Drosophila melanogaster: one gene and its partners. The protein of the gene in region 1 purifies or fractionates together with the protein of each later gene. This does not show direct contact. Each region holds a gene or a part of one and is shown on either strand. Other genes may lie near its edges.

What was found. Proteins that work in one complex are often made in the same cells at the same time.
Region 2: the proteins of betaCOP (region 1) and CCT8 purify together in Drosophila melanogaster (affinity purification with mass spectrometry, with the first as the bait; one large-scale study listed by BioGRID). This does not show direct contact.
Region 3: the proteins of betaCOP (region 1) and PCB purify together in Drosophila melanogaster (affinity purification with mass spectrometry, with the first as the bait; one large-scale study listed by BioGRID). This does not show direct contact.

The regions. Positions count from the first base shown.
Region 1 is NC_004354.4:18,381,005-18,386,818, forward strand, and holds betaCOP (coat protein (coatomer) beta), read right to left. Parts: upstream 4,239-5,814; 5' UTR 4,090-4,238; coding exon 2,459-4,089; intron 2,255-2,458; coding exon 1,599-2,254; intron 1,540-1,598; coding exon 1,378-1,539; intron 1,310-1,377; coding exon 1,036-1,309; intron 966-1,035; coding exon 860-965; intron 770-859; coding exon 704-769; 3' UTR 545-703; downstream 1-544. Other genes in the region: CG6179 (uncharacterized protein), read left to right, coding at 1-95, 158-229. UniProt on the Drosophila melanogaster protein: The coatomer is a cytosolic protein complex that binds to dilysine motifs and reversibly associates with Golgi non-clathrin-coated vesicles, which further mediate biosynthetic protein transport from the ER, via the Golgi up to the trans Golgi network.
Region 2 is NT_033778.4:8,904,327-8,908,758, forward strand, and holds CCT8 (chaperonin containing TCP1 subunit 8), read right to left. Parts: upstream 2,665-4,432; 5' UTR 2,587-2,664; coding exon 2,527-2,586; intron 2,348-2,526; coding exon 1,317-2,347; intron 1,253-1,316; coding exon 703-1,252; 3' UTR 518-702; downstream 1-517. Other genes in the region: CG30349 (uncharacterized protein), read left to right, coding at 3,265-3,570, 3,624-4,153, 4,209-4,432.
Region 3 is NT_033778.4:9,858,527-9,863,305, forward strand, and holds the start of PCB (pyruvate carboxylase), read right to left. Parts: upstream 3,018-4,779; 5' UTR 2,925-3,017; exon of another isoform or gene 2,619-2,924; intron 2,234-2,618; exon of another isoform or gene 1,844-2,233; intron 1-1,843.

The DNA.
Region 1 (5,814 bases):
CCATGGAGTGCGTGGAACGGCTGATCAGAAAGGACATGATCCATCCGCTCACGGATCGCAAGCTCAAGGAGAAGGACATCATTCCCCTGCAGCGAGTAAGTACATCGCGAACTGTGCAACTATTCTGCATTGCTAAGGTTTCTCGACTATTTCACAGGGCGGCACTGGCTACGCAACGACGAACGACCACCTCCAGGCCAAGGAAAAACGGCCCATGCTCCAGGCCTAAGACGAATTTATATAGCCGCCAGCTACTTGGGAGCACTTCAATAGAAATGTAATCGTTTTAGCACTAGCTAGTTTAAACAATCAATTATTTCTCCAGATTTTAAAACAATTGTGTATCATAACTTATACAAAACTTGGGTATTTTATCTGTTCCAATTCTACCTTTTCGTTTATTGCAAGACGAAGTGCATACATACTTATTGTTAAATAGGAAAAAACAAAATAAATACACTGATACTCGTACCACACAACCAATTAACCAGTAGTCCGAATTTCTATGGAAACAGCCCCGTCAAATGAAACCACTGCCAATCTTGGGGTTAAGGTATAATATTATATTCTTTATGTATAATTGTAACGTGTAATGTAAATTGAAGAAGCTGCAGCTGGCGGAATGCGGGCAGGTGGCCGAGTACGTCGTCTAGATACGTCGCTCCTGCTGGTGGCTGGTCGTCCACGTCCAGTTCCACGTCCACTAGGCCGCCTGCACCGACTGCTTCTGCGAGGAGCTGATCTTGTCGCCCAGACTCAAGGCCATGCCCTGTGTGAAAGGCGCGAAATACGGAATACGGATTAGAAAGTTGCGCATGACCATGTGCAGATGTGCGGCTGGTTTGTGCTCGACTCTCACCTGACTCTTGGCGCGAATGCGTATGTGTCCCGTCACCTTCGAATCGGGATCATCGACGGGCTTCTCGATACTCAGATTGGCCAAGGCATTCTCTCCGAAAATGGACCTGCAAAGTGAGCGGATGAGTTGTGATGAGAATATGATGGCTACTCCATAGTGGACAGCTGGACACTCACTTGGCGTACATGTTGGCGGCCATGAAGCCGCACTGGCCGGACAGCGCCTTCTCCGGCGTGAGGCACTTCATGTTGGTGCTCTTCAGCAGGTGCTTGAGATATTCGTGCAGGTCGGTGAAGCTGGTGTTGACGGTGACCTTGTTCTCCCACTCGAAGTCCTGCCACATTTGACGGAACTCGGTGTCCGTGCAGCTGGCCGGAATTATGTAGTCCATGATGTCGATGTGAATGGTATTGAGGACCACCACATTCGTGTTCAGGGCGGTTTCGTAAACTGTTGGTTAAGCGCCATAAGTGAGCGTGAGTGCACTTTAACAGCGAATTCCGCAATTAGCAACTCACCAATATTGCCGAAGATGATGCCGTTCTCTGTGGAGGAGACCTTTACGTTGGCCTTGATATTGCAGAAGTCGTGCGGAGCCAGGACCACTGGATGCGGGCGCTCCACCAGCTTAAGATCGCCCAATGTGGCCAACTCCAGTGTGCAGTTCTGTAGCGTGTCGTCTGAAAGTGATTTCATGGATTGAAAGCGATGCCCTTTCGCCTAAAGATGCACTACTCACTGGTCTGGTTGACGATCAGCACGTCCAGGACAATATCGTACTGATTGACATTGACGTAGGCCTCCGCATAGACGGGATCCGAGAAGCCAGTCAGTTGGGTGACCTTGTTGAGCTTGCTGTTCGGCGAGGCCACGTCGCTCAGCTGGGCGTTCTTGCTGCCGGCCAACGCCTGGTTCAGACTGGATTCGAACACATTCTCGCCCAGCTGATTGTCACGTCCGTTCGAGAGCTGTGCAAAGAGCACCGGATCGTCCGGCTGCACCTTGGCGGTGGCCTTCTGCTTCTCCTTCAACATGCGCTGGTCCTCGTCGTGCTGCGCATCCAGCATCTTGCCCAGAGCCTCGCGGCAGTACAGTGTGAAGACGGAGATAGCCTCCGGCGTGCGTTCGCTCAGCGTGCGCAGGCAGACGAAGATGCGATCGGTGTCATCGTTGGTTATGGGCTTGCTAGGGAAACCGGACTTGCCCAGGTGCAGTATCGAGCTCATGATCAGCATTACCTGCGTGGTCAGACGATTCTGGGCACGCGCCTCCGTCTCCAGCTCTGCGTAGCGCAGTGCCAGCTTGGTCAACGTGGCGGATAGAGCGGCGCCGATGAAGAAGTCGCCGTCCATCAAGTACTGACGCAATGGCGGACGTTTCTCCGCCTTGGCCACCCTGCAGAAAGCATTAACCAGCGTTAGAATCAGAACTGCAAACAACTATTTTGTAGGTGCTACGTATTAAGATGACTCATTGCCGAACAATAGATAATGGGCATGTCTAGCTAGAGGCATACTTATCAGTGCAAGCTGATGCAATGCCACAAGCCTCGAATGCCTCATTGGTGGCATGATATACGTACACGTAGCCATTACTTACGGGGCCAGACTGTAGGCACTCTGGGTGGCATAGGTTCCATCGGAGGTGACCTTGTTGCTGGCGTTTCCGGAGCCAGAGCCCTCTGCGGCGGATCCAGCTGCATTGCCGCCTGCGGATCCCTGCTGCTGCTTCTGCTCCTCGGTCTGGTCGCCGGCCAAGCGACGCTGCTCCGCCTCCACCATGGGCACTTCGCCCAGCGTCTGCTGAATGACGGCAATCACCTCCAGGATTTGCGAGCCCTCCACGTATTCACCCAAAATCCAAACGGCGGCGCGATGAATTTTGGAGGACTTAATCTGCGGGAAGGCCTCAATTAAATGCTCAATGATGAGGGCGCGCAGGGCGGGGAACTTTTGGATGGCTTCGCGTATGAAGATAAGCACATCGGCGGCGGCAAGTTCGTTGGTATCCGAGAGGAATTCAACCAGTACGGGTATAACATTGGCGGCCACATCGGGAAACTTGATGGAGCAGGTGTGCAGGGTGCGGACGAGCAGCTGCCTGTACTTGCCAGTGTCCTCGTGCTCCACATTGTGCGTCTTGGCCACCTCCTTCTTGAGGACCAGCACCATTTCGCCAATATTACGCGAATAGACCAAGTCCAGGGCCAGCGCGAGTGTTTTCCTGCGCACCTCGATGTCTGGTGCGGCCAGGACGCGCAGAACGTCCATCACCAGATCCTGCATCACCTTCTCCATGCCCTCGTGCTCCTTCATGGCCACCAGGCGATCGAGCACGATTAGCTTGACGTTGTTGTCGCTCTCCTTGACCACCAGTTCGATGTAGCAACTGGCCGCCGCCTTGATGGCCGTGGGCGCCAGCGAGAGCGTAATCAATGTGCCAGCGGACTCGTAACGCACCGCATTCGAGCTGGAGTTCAGCAGGTTGTAGATGCAGCGTATGAACCGCGAACGCTCGGCGGGATTGGCATGGCACACCTTATAGATCAGCTCCACGATGACCAGCTGCAGTATATCGCCGAAAGTGTGCACCTGATCGATGCAACTGGCCAGATAGTTGAGCGCTCGCTCCTGGTCCGCATGCAGTAGCATAAGGAAGGCGTTGCGCTTGCAGCTCATGTCCTGCTGCGTGTCCAGGAAGCTGGCAATCAGCTCCGGCCCATCGGGCACCAGCCAATCGAAGTTCTTGTAGATGGTAAAGATGGCCAGCACGGCATTTCGTCGCACATACGAGTGCCGGTGATCCAGGCACGCCCGTATGGCCGGCATCAGTGGCTCCAGCAGCTCCGGCTCCTTCAGCTTGCAGAGGAAGCGCAGTGTCGAGCCGCGCAGAAACTCATTGGGATGCTGCAAATCCTTCCTGTACGCATCGCACACCAGTATCATCTCCTGCAGCAGCTTCCCATCCGCCGATGTCTTCGGCACAATTTCCCAGAAGATGAGCAGCAGCTTCTTGATCGTGTGGTTCTGCACCGGCAGGACGAAGCGTATGATGGTCATGATCAGGCCCGGATACCGCTCCCCATTCAGCAGCAACTTGATTACCCGCTTCAGCGTCTCGATCTTCACGTTCGTGTCGCCCTTTTCGAGATCGCGCTTCAGTTGCATCTCGTTGGTCACCTCCAGGTCCGGCGAGTTGATTATCGTGTAGCACGGCACTTGCGACGTCATCGTGGCTGCCTATTCCGTTCGCCTGTTTATCCCGATAATGCCAATTGACCAACTTATTTCCTAATTTCCAAATTCAGTTTTTTTTTGGTCTTTCCGACGTGTCACAATGCTAACAGGGTGTGACCGTGCGCGGCGCCGTGCGGAAATGCCACGCGAGTGCTGCCAGGGCTGCGCAGTGCTCTAGCGGGGACGCACACCGCCGGCCAGCAACCGCTTCGGCTAACAGCGGGCTGTTGAGCGCACTTGGCGCGCTTTTCAAACGTTTTGTTATTTGATTGTTATTTATCATTCTTATCATTTTTTAGTTCAACAAGTTTAACATTAGAATGTACAAAAAGCAGATGCACTTAAGCTCCACAAATGTATAGCTGGAAATTTACTTGCATTGCAGTGCTTGCATCTACAGAGCGAGTGCTGTTAAGTTACAGTGTCTTTTTCGCGCCATAACTGCAGTTTGAAATGCTATGTAACTATGTAAATGCATGCCAAAAATGTAAAAAATGAAAAGTGTTATAAACAAATTATTCTACATTAAGTTAAAGCTAATGAATTTTTCATTTCATATATAACACATTTAACAAAATATTATTTTGTTATATACTTTTATTTAAAATAGTAAGTATCACTGTTTCAAAAATGCCATTCGATTTGCAATTTGTACTTAAAATAAGTGAGTAGCAGTGCTTCATTTTTATCGCATACAATTTCCCTGATGAATGCCTTTTCCGTGCGGTTAAATAATGCAACGAAGCTTTTGCGCTGACAAACACACTTTGTGCTGGGCGTAGCTCCATTACCTCCCTTCTATTACCTGGCTGCAGATAGCCTCCGTGCCAGAGGACTGCTGATAAGAGGCCACCTCGGACTACTCGGAAAAATCCCCAACCCATTGCGATCCGGGTAAATTCCCGACCGCTCCGGGGCTCTTGACCTTGCCCAGTGCGAAGTGTGTGTGTTTGCATCTGCGGCACTGCCAAGCAATCTAATTCGGTTTCTGGTTTCGATTCCACTAGAAAGATCCCCGCCCACGCCCACGTCCCAAGTCCCACGGCATTTGCCATTGTGATCTCGTTTTGCACTTCATCATTCAATTGCCGCCCCCGCGACTCATTGCCCAGCCACGCCCCCTCCCTCAAAGGAGGAGGCACGGCCTGCATTTTAAGCAGTTCGTCAATTCTCTGCTGGATGTGGACAGTTCTCCACAGCTCCTCTTCGTTGCTCTTACTGCAACGAGCCGGTGCGGGTGACTAGCTAGGTGATCTGATCCCATCGTGGAACAGGTTCTGTGCCCGGCCTGAATAAACAAATGCCCTGATAGCGGGGCGAAATTGAAGTATATAAAACTAGAGACGAGTGCGAAAGCGAATGTGAGTGATATGCGAATAGCGCATACTCTCACTTTTTGCAGAAGCTTAAATGAGCTCCAAGTTTATCCACTCGAAGTTTATCCCCTGCATTTTTAGGAATATAAAACAATTTCGCATAACATATAAATCTAGATTTTGCTTGCAAATTATCTAAACGCAGTGCAATCATTTAAATTATCATAATAAATACTTGCACTTTTCAAATTGGCCATCTCAAGATCGTAGTTATGCGTCCAATTAAAAATTCAAAAAATATCCCCTCGGAGTGTATAAATAAAAGGCAATTACTCTTAATTTGTTTACTTCCAAGAAGAGTGAATTTAAAGTAGCCGAATCATTAGATGAATGCAAATGCAAA
Region 2 (4,432 bases), on another chromosome or scaffold:
AACAGTTTTCGATCCAACGGACACTTTGCATCCAAACTTTTTAGTTATCCCTGAATGTTATTAGCCCGAGGACAGCCGAACCACCCAATGGAGCACGGATGGTTTGGTTTCGTCCTCAGATGTGTCATTTTCTATAACTTATCCATAGAGGGTAAATCGCATTTGGAAAGGAAGGGCATTAGATGCACACGTACTCAAAATCAATCATGGTCATCGAATACACTTTAACACCTTTCACTTCAAATGAAAAGCGACAACGAGATCGTATTTTATTCGAAAATTAATACAACTCTTTTGCGATGCAAACGGGGACGAGTCCTCACAAATATTATTGAAATGTATCTGCGAATAAGCATTTGAAATATTGTACTCAACAAAATGAATAATCGTTTGCTTAAATTTCAAAAATAAAAAGCGATAACTTACTTAGATTCGTTATCTAGCGGTGGCACCGGGTTCGGTGCGAAAACCACGTTGTTTTATTTCAAAGGCCCCCGAAGGATCACGCGTTTCAGTTCAGTTTTCGTAAGTTAAGTTTATTAATACAAGAAACTGTGTGCATGGCTGTGTATGTGGGTGAGTGTGAGAGTGGTTAATGAAATTTATAATTTCCATGGGACTCGTTTATGAAAATACAATGCACTCTTTGTGGGAGCGGGAGAAACTAGTTATAGTAGGGAGTACGAATCACAGAGGAGCCGCTTAACTCTCGTCATCGCTGCCGGCAGCCTGTCGCACCTTGGGACCTCCGGCGCGCTTGGCCATGATGATCTGGTCCACCTTCAAGATGGTTGCGGCCGCGCCAACAGCGTACTTGAGACCCCAGAACTTGGACTGGTACAGATCGAAGAGCTTTGCCTTCGTTGTGTCGATGGTGCTGGCCTTCTCGGCCTCAATGTCGAAGCCGATTGTCTTTCCGGCCTCGTTGTTGTGGGCCAAATACAACTGGTTGACGATTTCCGTGCCATTGATGCCGGAGTTCTCGGCCAGAGCCTTGGGGAAAACTTCCAGCGCATTAGCGAACTTGCGCACGGCGTACTGGTCCAGACCAGGCAGAGTATCAGCATAGGCGGACAGCTGGGTGGCCAACTCGATCTCGGTGGCGCCAGCTCCGGGCAGATAGCGGCCATCCCGGGTCAGGCACTTGAAGTTGTTAATAGCGTCATCCAGGGCACGCTCAATGTCATCCATGAAGTTGTCGGTAGCTCCACGGATCACCACGGTGGCAATGCGCGAGTCCTTGCCCTCGTTCCTGCAATGATTCAATAAGAAATTATAATGGTATTTTCTCTCGCTAATTCCATTGAAAATCCCACCTGAAGGCCACAATTGTGGTGTCTCCCAGTTCCTCGATGCAAACTTTGTCGCAGTAGCCCAACTCCTCCTGACTGGGCGTGGTGATGCGCGGCAGGACAGTGGCGTTTACGGATCGGCTCAGGCGACGCAGGTCGAACTTAGAGTTGAGACGCACGGCCATCAGACCGTATTTGTTAAGGAAGTGCAGAGCCATGTCGCCAACCTTGCCGCCGGCCACAACCACCTTGACACCTGCGTCGGCGATAGCCTTGATCTGGCTCTCCAACAGGCTCTCTTCGCCGGAGGAAAAGCTCAATAGCTCGTCGGCCGACTTGATCAGCACTGTGCCCTTGGTCTCAGTTTGGATAATATCGACGGGGCAGGAGAAAATCACGATCTTGGCCTTCTCTGCATAGGTCACATCGCCTTCTACGAAGCGCTTGAAGACCATGCCGCGAACCACCTCAGACTTGGTCAGTCCGCTGCCCAAGATCTTACAGATGCGAATGTTGTCCACGTTGAAGGTGCCCTCATCCGGCAAGATGGAGACGCAGGCCTTGCTCACCAAATCGTTGAGGAAGTCCTCCTGGCCGTACTGCTTCGACATGATCGATGTGCGGAGTACCTCCTTGACCTTCTCCACATTGCGATAGTCCTCGATCTTGTGGCTCACCAGATTGGGCAGAATCTCCAGAGCCTTCTCCAAGGCCTTTTCATAGCCGTCGGAGATCTCGGCAGTGGTGATTCCTAGACGCAGCAGCTCCTCAGCGGACTCCAACAGAGCTCCGGCCAGCACCACCACGAAGTTTGTACCATCGCCCACCTCGGCATCCTGCATCTGGCTGGCCATGACGATCAACTTGGCGGCTGGATGCTCAACATCCAGCTCCCGCATGATGGTGCCGGCATCGCTGGTCACGAACTGCTTCTCGATGTGATTGATGATCATCTTGTTCATGCCATTTGGCCCATAGGCAGAGCGCATGGTCTGTGCAAACTCCTTGCAGGCGCTGATGTTGCGGAACACCGCCTCCTCCAGCCCACTGTACATCTGAGGACACAAGTAAAGCCATTAAATTAGTCATTTTTCTTTCATATGTCGAGCCCCGTTCCATGAGGATGACTAATCACGCGCCTCCGCAAGACGGCATGTTTTCTTTTAAGCCGAATCTCAATGAAACCGATGCCCGGCGGACTCCTCGCAGAGTTATTCCTCCTTGTTGCACTTACCCGGGCGCCATCCTTCAGCATCTGCGACACACCGGGAGCCTTGGGAACGGATAAAGCCATTTTTTAACACAGATTTCAATTTCACACGGAGTCAGTCGGTAAATTCCAGCTATAGTTATAACCTCAAAGTGGCCGCGAACATTCTGGATGGGATAGCGATGGCACTTGCCTATCGATTATCGTAAACGGTGACTGGCGCTATTTTATTTTTATTTTACATTTGAATTGATCTTTTTCAATAAGGTAACGATTCTCAATGGTTTATGATGAATAGCATGCAATTAACAATATAGTTCAGCAGTGGAGTTTACGCCCCAAAGAATCCTGTAAATCGAGTTTATTTCTTGGTCTTTGAACGCATTTACTTAAATAATCCAGGATAATGTATATAAGTTACTCCAAATAAGTAATATTTACAGTTGCAAAAGAATTTACTCATTTTAAGTTTTGAGGAAATTTTAAAACAATTAGAGTAAAATATTTTATTATTTAATTTAAAAACTGAAAAGTTTATTTAAAAAATTCACATTCCCATTGGTTTATTATATTGTTCACTCGATGAATTTTGTTTGCATATAATTTGATAAATCTTTCAAGGGTATAGGAAACGTCGGTAAATGCAATTCAATCGTGAGTCGTGCGTGACATTTGCGTGATAGATTGCATTAAGTGCGACGAGTGTGAGCCGATGTAAACACTAGCCTTAGCGCCCATCTCTAATTCAAAACATAAAAAACGATGTCGCTGGGCAAGAAGCACGTGTTGGGATTTTCGCCCAATGGTGGCCAACTATTTGCCTCGGTGGACGAGTCGGGAGTTCTGCGGATATGGAACACAGAGACGAACACGCTGTATCAGGAGTTTACGCCCAATCTACAGTTATCCGGGTCGTGCACAGCTCTCACGTGGGTTTTGGTGGCCGGTTCCCGGCCCAAGAAGTCGCGGAAGAGCCTCCAGGCACAGGATGCAGCCGGTGATCAGCTTCACATTGCTCTGGGAACGTACAAGGGCTCAGTGGTTATATACTCATTAGCCGAGGGAAAGGTGAGTCGGACAAAGAGCCTTGAAGGCGAATAAACCACAAGCAATCCTTGCAGATTTCTCGAACGCTCAGTGGCGACAGCCATGATGGACCAGTGACCTCAATTACAAATGACAACGCTGGCCACCTATACACTGTGGGTGCCGATTGTAGGGTTGTTGTTTGGTCCTTGACGGACGAGCGCTCCATCGCCGAATGGCAAGTGGGACCCGAGAAGCCCCAAAATATAGTCTACCTTCAGAAAAGTGGCACCTTGGCCATTGGCTACCGACAGCTGAAGGTGTACGATATCAAGACAAAGGAGCTGGTGGAAACGTTCACCGGCCACTCGGGCGAAATAAACACAATCAGCAGCGTGGCGAGCACAGATGGCACTGAATTCGTTTTGACCACCGCGAAGATGGAGCGCGTAATCTGCTTCTGGAAGATCGACAAGAAGGGCAAGAACAAAGCCTCCGCCTGCACGCTCCTCATGGAGGACTTGGCCTACTGTCTAACCAGCGAAGTGCGCGACGATGGTCAGCTACGTGTGGCCAGTGTTACCCGCAATGGCATCATACACATTTACCTGTTGAATGTGAACAGGTGGGTCATGTGAATACACGTTTTGTCACTCGTACTGAAGTACTATGTTTCACAGTTTATCCGCAGAGAAGTTTGTGAAGCCCAAGGTTTCGCTGCAGATCGTTTCCGATGGCGCCGAAACAGTGGAACCACTTCTAGCCGTGGCGGCCCACTTTGTGACAGACTCAAATCGCTCCCACGAAATCCTCTTTGGCTACGGAAGTCGCCAACAGCTGCAGTTTGAACGTTTTACGCCCAACTATGGCGAGAAACTAAACGTTATTGTGCGCGCCGATCCCA
Region 3 (4,779 bases), on another chromosome or scaffold:
GTTGTTTAGAAATAATCTTTATTTTTAGGTTAATAAAAGTTTTGAAACTGGTATCTGTGAAACGTGGCAAATCTAATCTTAGCCGCAAGCGGAAATTATAATCGGAAGCTTTTCTCCTATCGCTTTCGTAAGAATGAAAAGGATTTTCAATAAATAATTTAAATATCGATCTGCGATAAAGAATCTATATCTATTTACGTTTCAATTAGAATTTAAACTATTTGAAGACCGGATCACTGGCTCCCCTGCTGTATTTAAAAATTAAAGCGCATTAGCATCGGAATAAAGTGAAGAATGCATGTCTACAATTGGTTAGCATGATGTGAAAATAACACGTATTTTCGCATGCAAATCAGGGTTTATTTCAGGTATTTCTGGGATAGCTTCAGCACCTTTTTTTGTGCTGTATTTCTGGCAATATTTGCAGGCTATCAATTATCCTGTTGCTTGTTGACTGGGTGTGTTGCCTCATATTTTCTGAAAGAAAAGTGGGCGCTGTCAGGGCCAATCTCATGCAATTACACGAAAACGTTGTTGACACGGCATACGAAAACCCAACCAAAACTCAGCCAAAACCCACCCGAAGCCCGATTGTGTTTGCCCATCGGAATGGGCGATTATGTAATAATAACATGATAGCCAACTAACTACACACTAATAGTACTGGAATGCCCCAGTCACTTGAACGCTTTGCTTTTGTTCACCAACTTTTGCACAGGAAAATGTGCGTGCTATGATTTTATTTTTATTTATTTTTCTTGCTCCACAAACGTATGATCTTGAACGACAAGCTGCTAAGGTCAAAGTCGCTTTTGAATGTAGGTCGTACATTGATTTTGTCGCCAAAATGTGAGAATAAGAATAGATGGACTTTTCTACTTCCGATTACTAGTTGTTTTCTTAAACTGCATTCAGTATTTCAGTTCCAGATGTGAAGTTATATAATCCGCATTCTGAACTAAAAAGAAAAACTATAAATAGCAATGATTGATAAGGAGATGGAACGCCCAGGATCTTCTATTTTTTATATTATATTTTCGCTAGAAAATTAAGTCTATGGCCATTAACTCGTGTCGCCCAGGATCTTCTATTTTTTAACAAAACTCTCTCTTTGCCAGCAAAAGTTACAGAGATCTTACATTCGTTCGAAAACCTTATATTTACTTGAGCAGCCTGTCTAGACTCTAGACCTTATCACGCCAAACGAAAAGCTGATAGAGACGAAGCTTTGACATTGACTAGTCCGGGTCCAGCTCTCCATACAAGTATATGTGACGGCCTGTCGGTCCCGGCGAATCAATAGCAATCAAACAAATCAAACTGTGCCCATAAACTGGTTAAATTTCGGATCACCCCCGTTCGCAATCCCTGATCACACTGCACACGATATGTAGATAATTTCCGAGTAATCGCGCACACTACGTATAGATTATGGATCTATGTGCGACAAACACGTTTCCCCAATGGCGAAACCATAAGAAGGTCATAAATATTGGGCAGCAAGTAGGATGAGTCCGAAAATAAAACAGCCACATTTCCCTCTCTGGGATGGTGTCTATCGCACGGGTGTGTGTTTGGGGGCATGGGGGTATGCTACGCTACGACATGGTATGGTGCGGTATGGCATGGTATGGCATGGTATGGAATAGAATAGAATAAAATGTAATTAACACATGTCTGCCAGAGAGTGACGATGGCAAATTACAATGGTTGGACGGCGAGAAAGGGCTGGGGAAAGAAACCAGCCGAACCGAGTGGAAGAAGAAATTGAGCACAAATTATGCAATTAAATGGCTATGCACTTGATCGATAGACGCAGTCCGCCGACCGACCGGCGACTTACTTATTGATGGCGAAAGTTCCGAAGGAGCGCTCTGCGCCTATTGTCGTTGTCCTGGCGCAAAGTGGGTAATCGCTGCTCCAGCACTACAAAACAATTTCAAACGGGTCGTGAGTCAACGTGGTTTCTTTAGCTTATGTACCGCGCTCAGCACATACAAATTCACGGTTCCTATGTATCCTATGTGCGCGAGGTTTTGTCAACTTGCCGGCCTCTTTTTTTTGCGTTTGGTCTCGGGGTTGCGTTTGGTTTGGTTTGCTTGGAATTGGTTTGGTTTTGGTCTATGTAGGTAGAACAGCGCGAATTCGCAAACGGTTGCTCTGCTGCACTCTGATTCTCTCTTCTGCCCAGGAACTCGCGAACCGTTCACTTCAAAGCTGTCCGTCGGACTGGTCGAGCGCACAAACTCGAAACTTTCGACTAGTTCCGTGGGAGAGTGGTCGTGGTGGTTTCAATGGGAACATTAACGTTCTCTCCCAATCTGTGAGGCTCCTCTCGCAGTTTCGATGTCTGCGCGTGCTCCCTGCCGGCAATGATTTGTTCTCGATAGAAATGGGCGGATCGAATCTATGATACCTCTTAGCTACCAAAGCTAACATATCAAATCTGGCTAACGAATTGTGGGCATTTCATGTAATAAATCGTAAAATCTAACTATACCCAATTAATATCTCCATAGGATAGTTGAGTTATACAAAGTATATTTATATATTAATTATATATTATAATCTCAGAATTGCATCTTTATTTGCCTCACTTCTAATCCAACACATTGAAAGGCTAAGTTTAAAATGACACTATGAAATTCGTATGGAAATCACTAAGGCTTTCATCTAGCTGTTACCCACTTAGCACGGATCTGATATACCCCAATGTCACCCAGTAAAGAGACTGGAACATCAACGAACTTTGGCCTAGCGCAAAGCTGTTTTTGCCGGTCGCACCGGAGAACTTTCTTTTGACATTGGTTCCTTGGAGGAGGAGAGAGGGGAAGGCGGGCGGAGAGAGCAACAGCTGTGCACCGAGCCCCAAAATGGCACAGGTCTCGAAAGCCTGAAAACTCCACCAAATTTTATAGACTTACTTGACTTTTCGTACCATAAAGATAATTTAGAAGAGCTGTAATTTATAAAAGGCGGCCATAAGATAATTTGAAACTTAAAATTTTGATTATGACTGATGAATAATCGAATGAAAATAGCCTACTGAAAATAAAGTAACCTTCTTAATGATGTCTAATCGCTAAGATTCCTTTTACATGTCCTTGCAATTAAATCCTTTATTTTCATAATATATTATAATAGGATATACTTCTTTGTTTCCACAATGCCCACGGATGAAAAATGGAAACGAAACAACCCTGATATGGATCTATTATGCTCGTGGAAACTTTCAGAACATTATGAGCTTGTTGTTGCTTCGCTGTGTCGCAACAGTGAAGTGAATTCGAATGGTCTGGGCGTCGGGATCGGACGCGTGGAACTTATTATATGAACAGCCGGTGGGTCTACGAGTCAGAGGAATCGTACGACTCCCAATGGATGTCCAGATCTGGCGCTGATACGAGTGAGTGAGAGGAGAGAAGAGGAGAAGAGAGGAGCGGGAGCCCGCCTACGCTCCCAATTATCGCCAGTATCATCGGCTCAGTGAGCAGATTCTCGCGCTCCCTCGCTAAAAAACTGATCTTGCCGGTGTGTATATGTGTATGGCGTATATATATATAGGTAGACACGTGTATATCGGTGGTTTTGAGATTTTTATTTTTATATTGCGGCACGCGCGATTGTGGCCATAACAAACCTGGGCAGTCTTATCACCAGACAGAAAGAATCAAAAAGGGGCCAACAAGAATGATGTTGTGTATGAGCGTCGGCAGAAACATAAACATACATATATGTGTAAAATACAGATATAGATATATGTACTATCGTATGCCCGATAATGCTGCACTGAGGAAGTGTAGGGTATCTGCGGCCGAAAGAATGTGCTAGTGGGGCTTATAATCGATTATTTATTTCGATCTCATGTTTATAATATATATATTTGCCAATCTATCTCGAAGGCTCCTCATTTCAATAAACTTTGCTACCAAAGAAGCAATTGAAAACCATTAAAGCTTGGAGATAAGATTGAAGAAATCTATCAACCTATTGGATTAACTACCACCTCCAAAAAGATTCCACACGCTGCTGGGCGATTTTAGCGTATTGGTGAGCTGATAAGAGGGCCACGCCTCCGTCTGAATGGAAATCTTTTATAAGCTATCAGGCCAATGGTGCAAAACCGGCCAGTCATTCCCAATTACTGGACGTACCATATCTTATCAGCTCCAAAGGCGGGAATTAAACTTTAATACTCTGCCTTCGTGGGGATTACACTCTTCTATGGTGCCTATAGGTCGATACAAGATTACTATTGGTTATGTTCGAAGAAGAGTATTCGTTAGTCGCTGCGTTTAAGGTGTCAAAGCCAAAACAGTATTATACACGTGCCGCTTATTTTGGTACTTGAACTTTCTCATGCTGACAATGATAACGTTTTGGTTTGATTTAACTCCTCCGATTTATGGTTTAAATATGCCAATGTGTTAAATTATCAAGCCTTTTAACCACAAGTTTTTTTGCGGTACGAAACCATAATAATTAAGAGCCTTGGACTATAACTTATGAATTTCGTTCTAAGGATAAAAAAACAAGTACTGTGATAAGAAAAAGACAGTTAATTAATTTTTAAGAATAAATTTATCAAAGTCCAAAGTTGATACTACTTCATATTGGGTTTGATATATGACAAATGTGAAGTAAAAGGCTGATCGCTGCGACCTTCAAGTAATCTATTATTAAAACCATATACCCATACGATATAACCTTTATTGAAACGGTAACACTTACCTAAAGGGAATGTTTTTAGTTACATTTTCAGATTTTTGCCAAAACCAA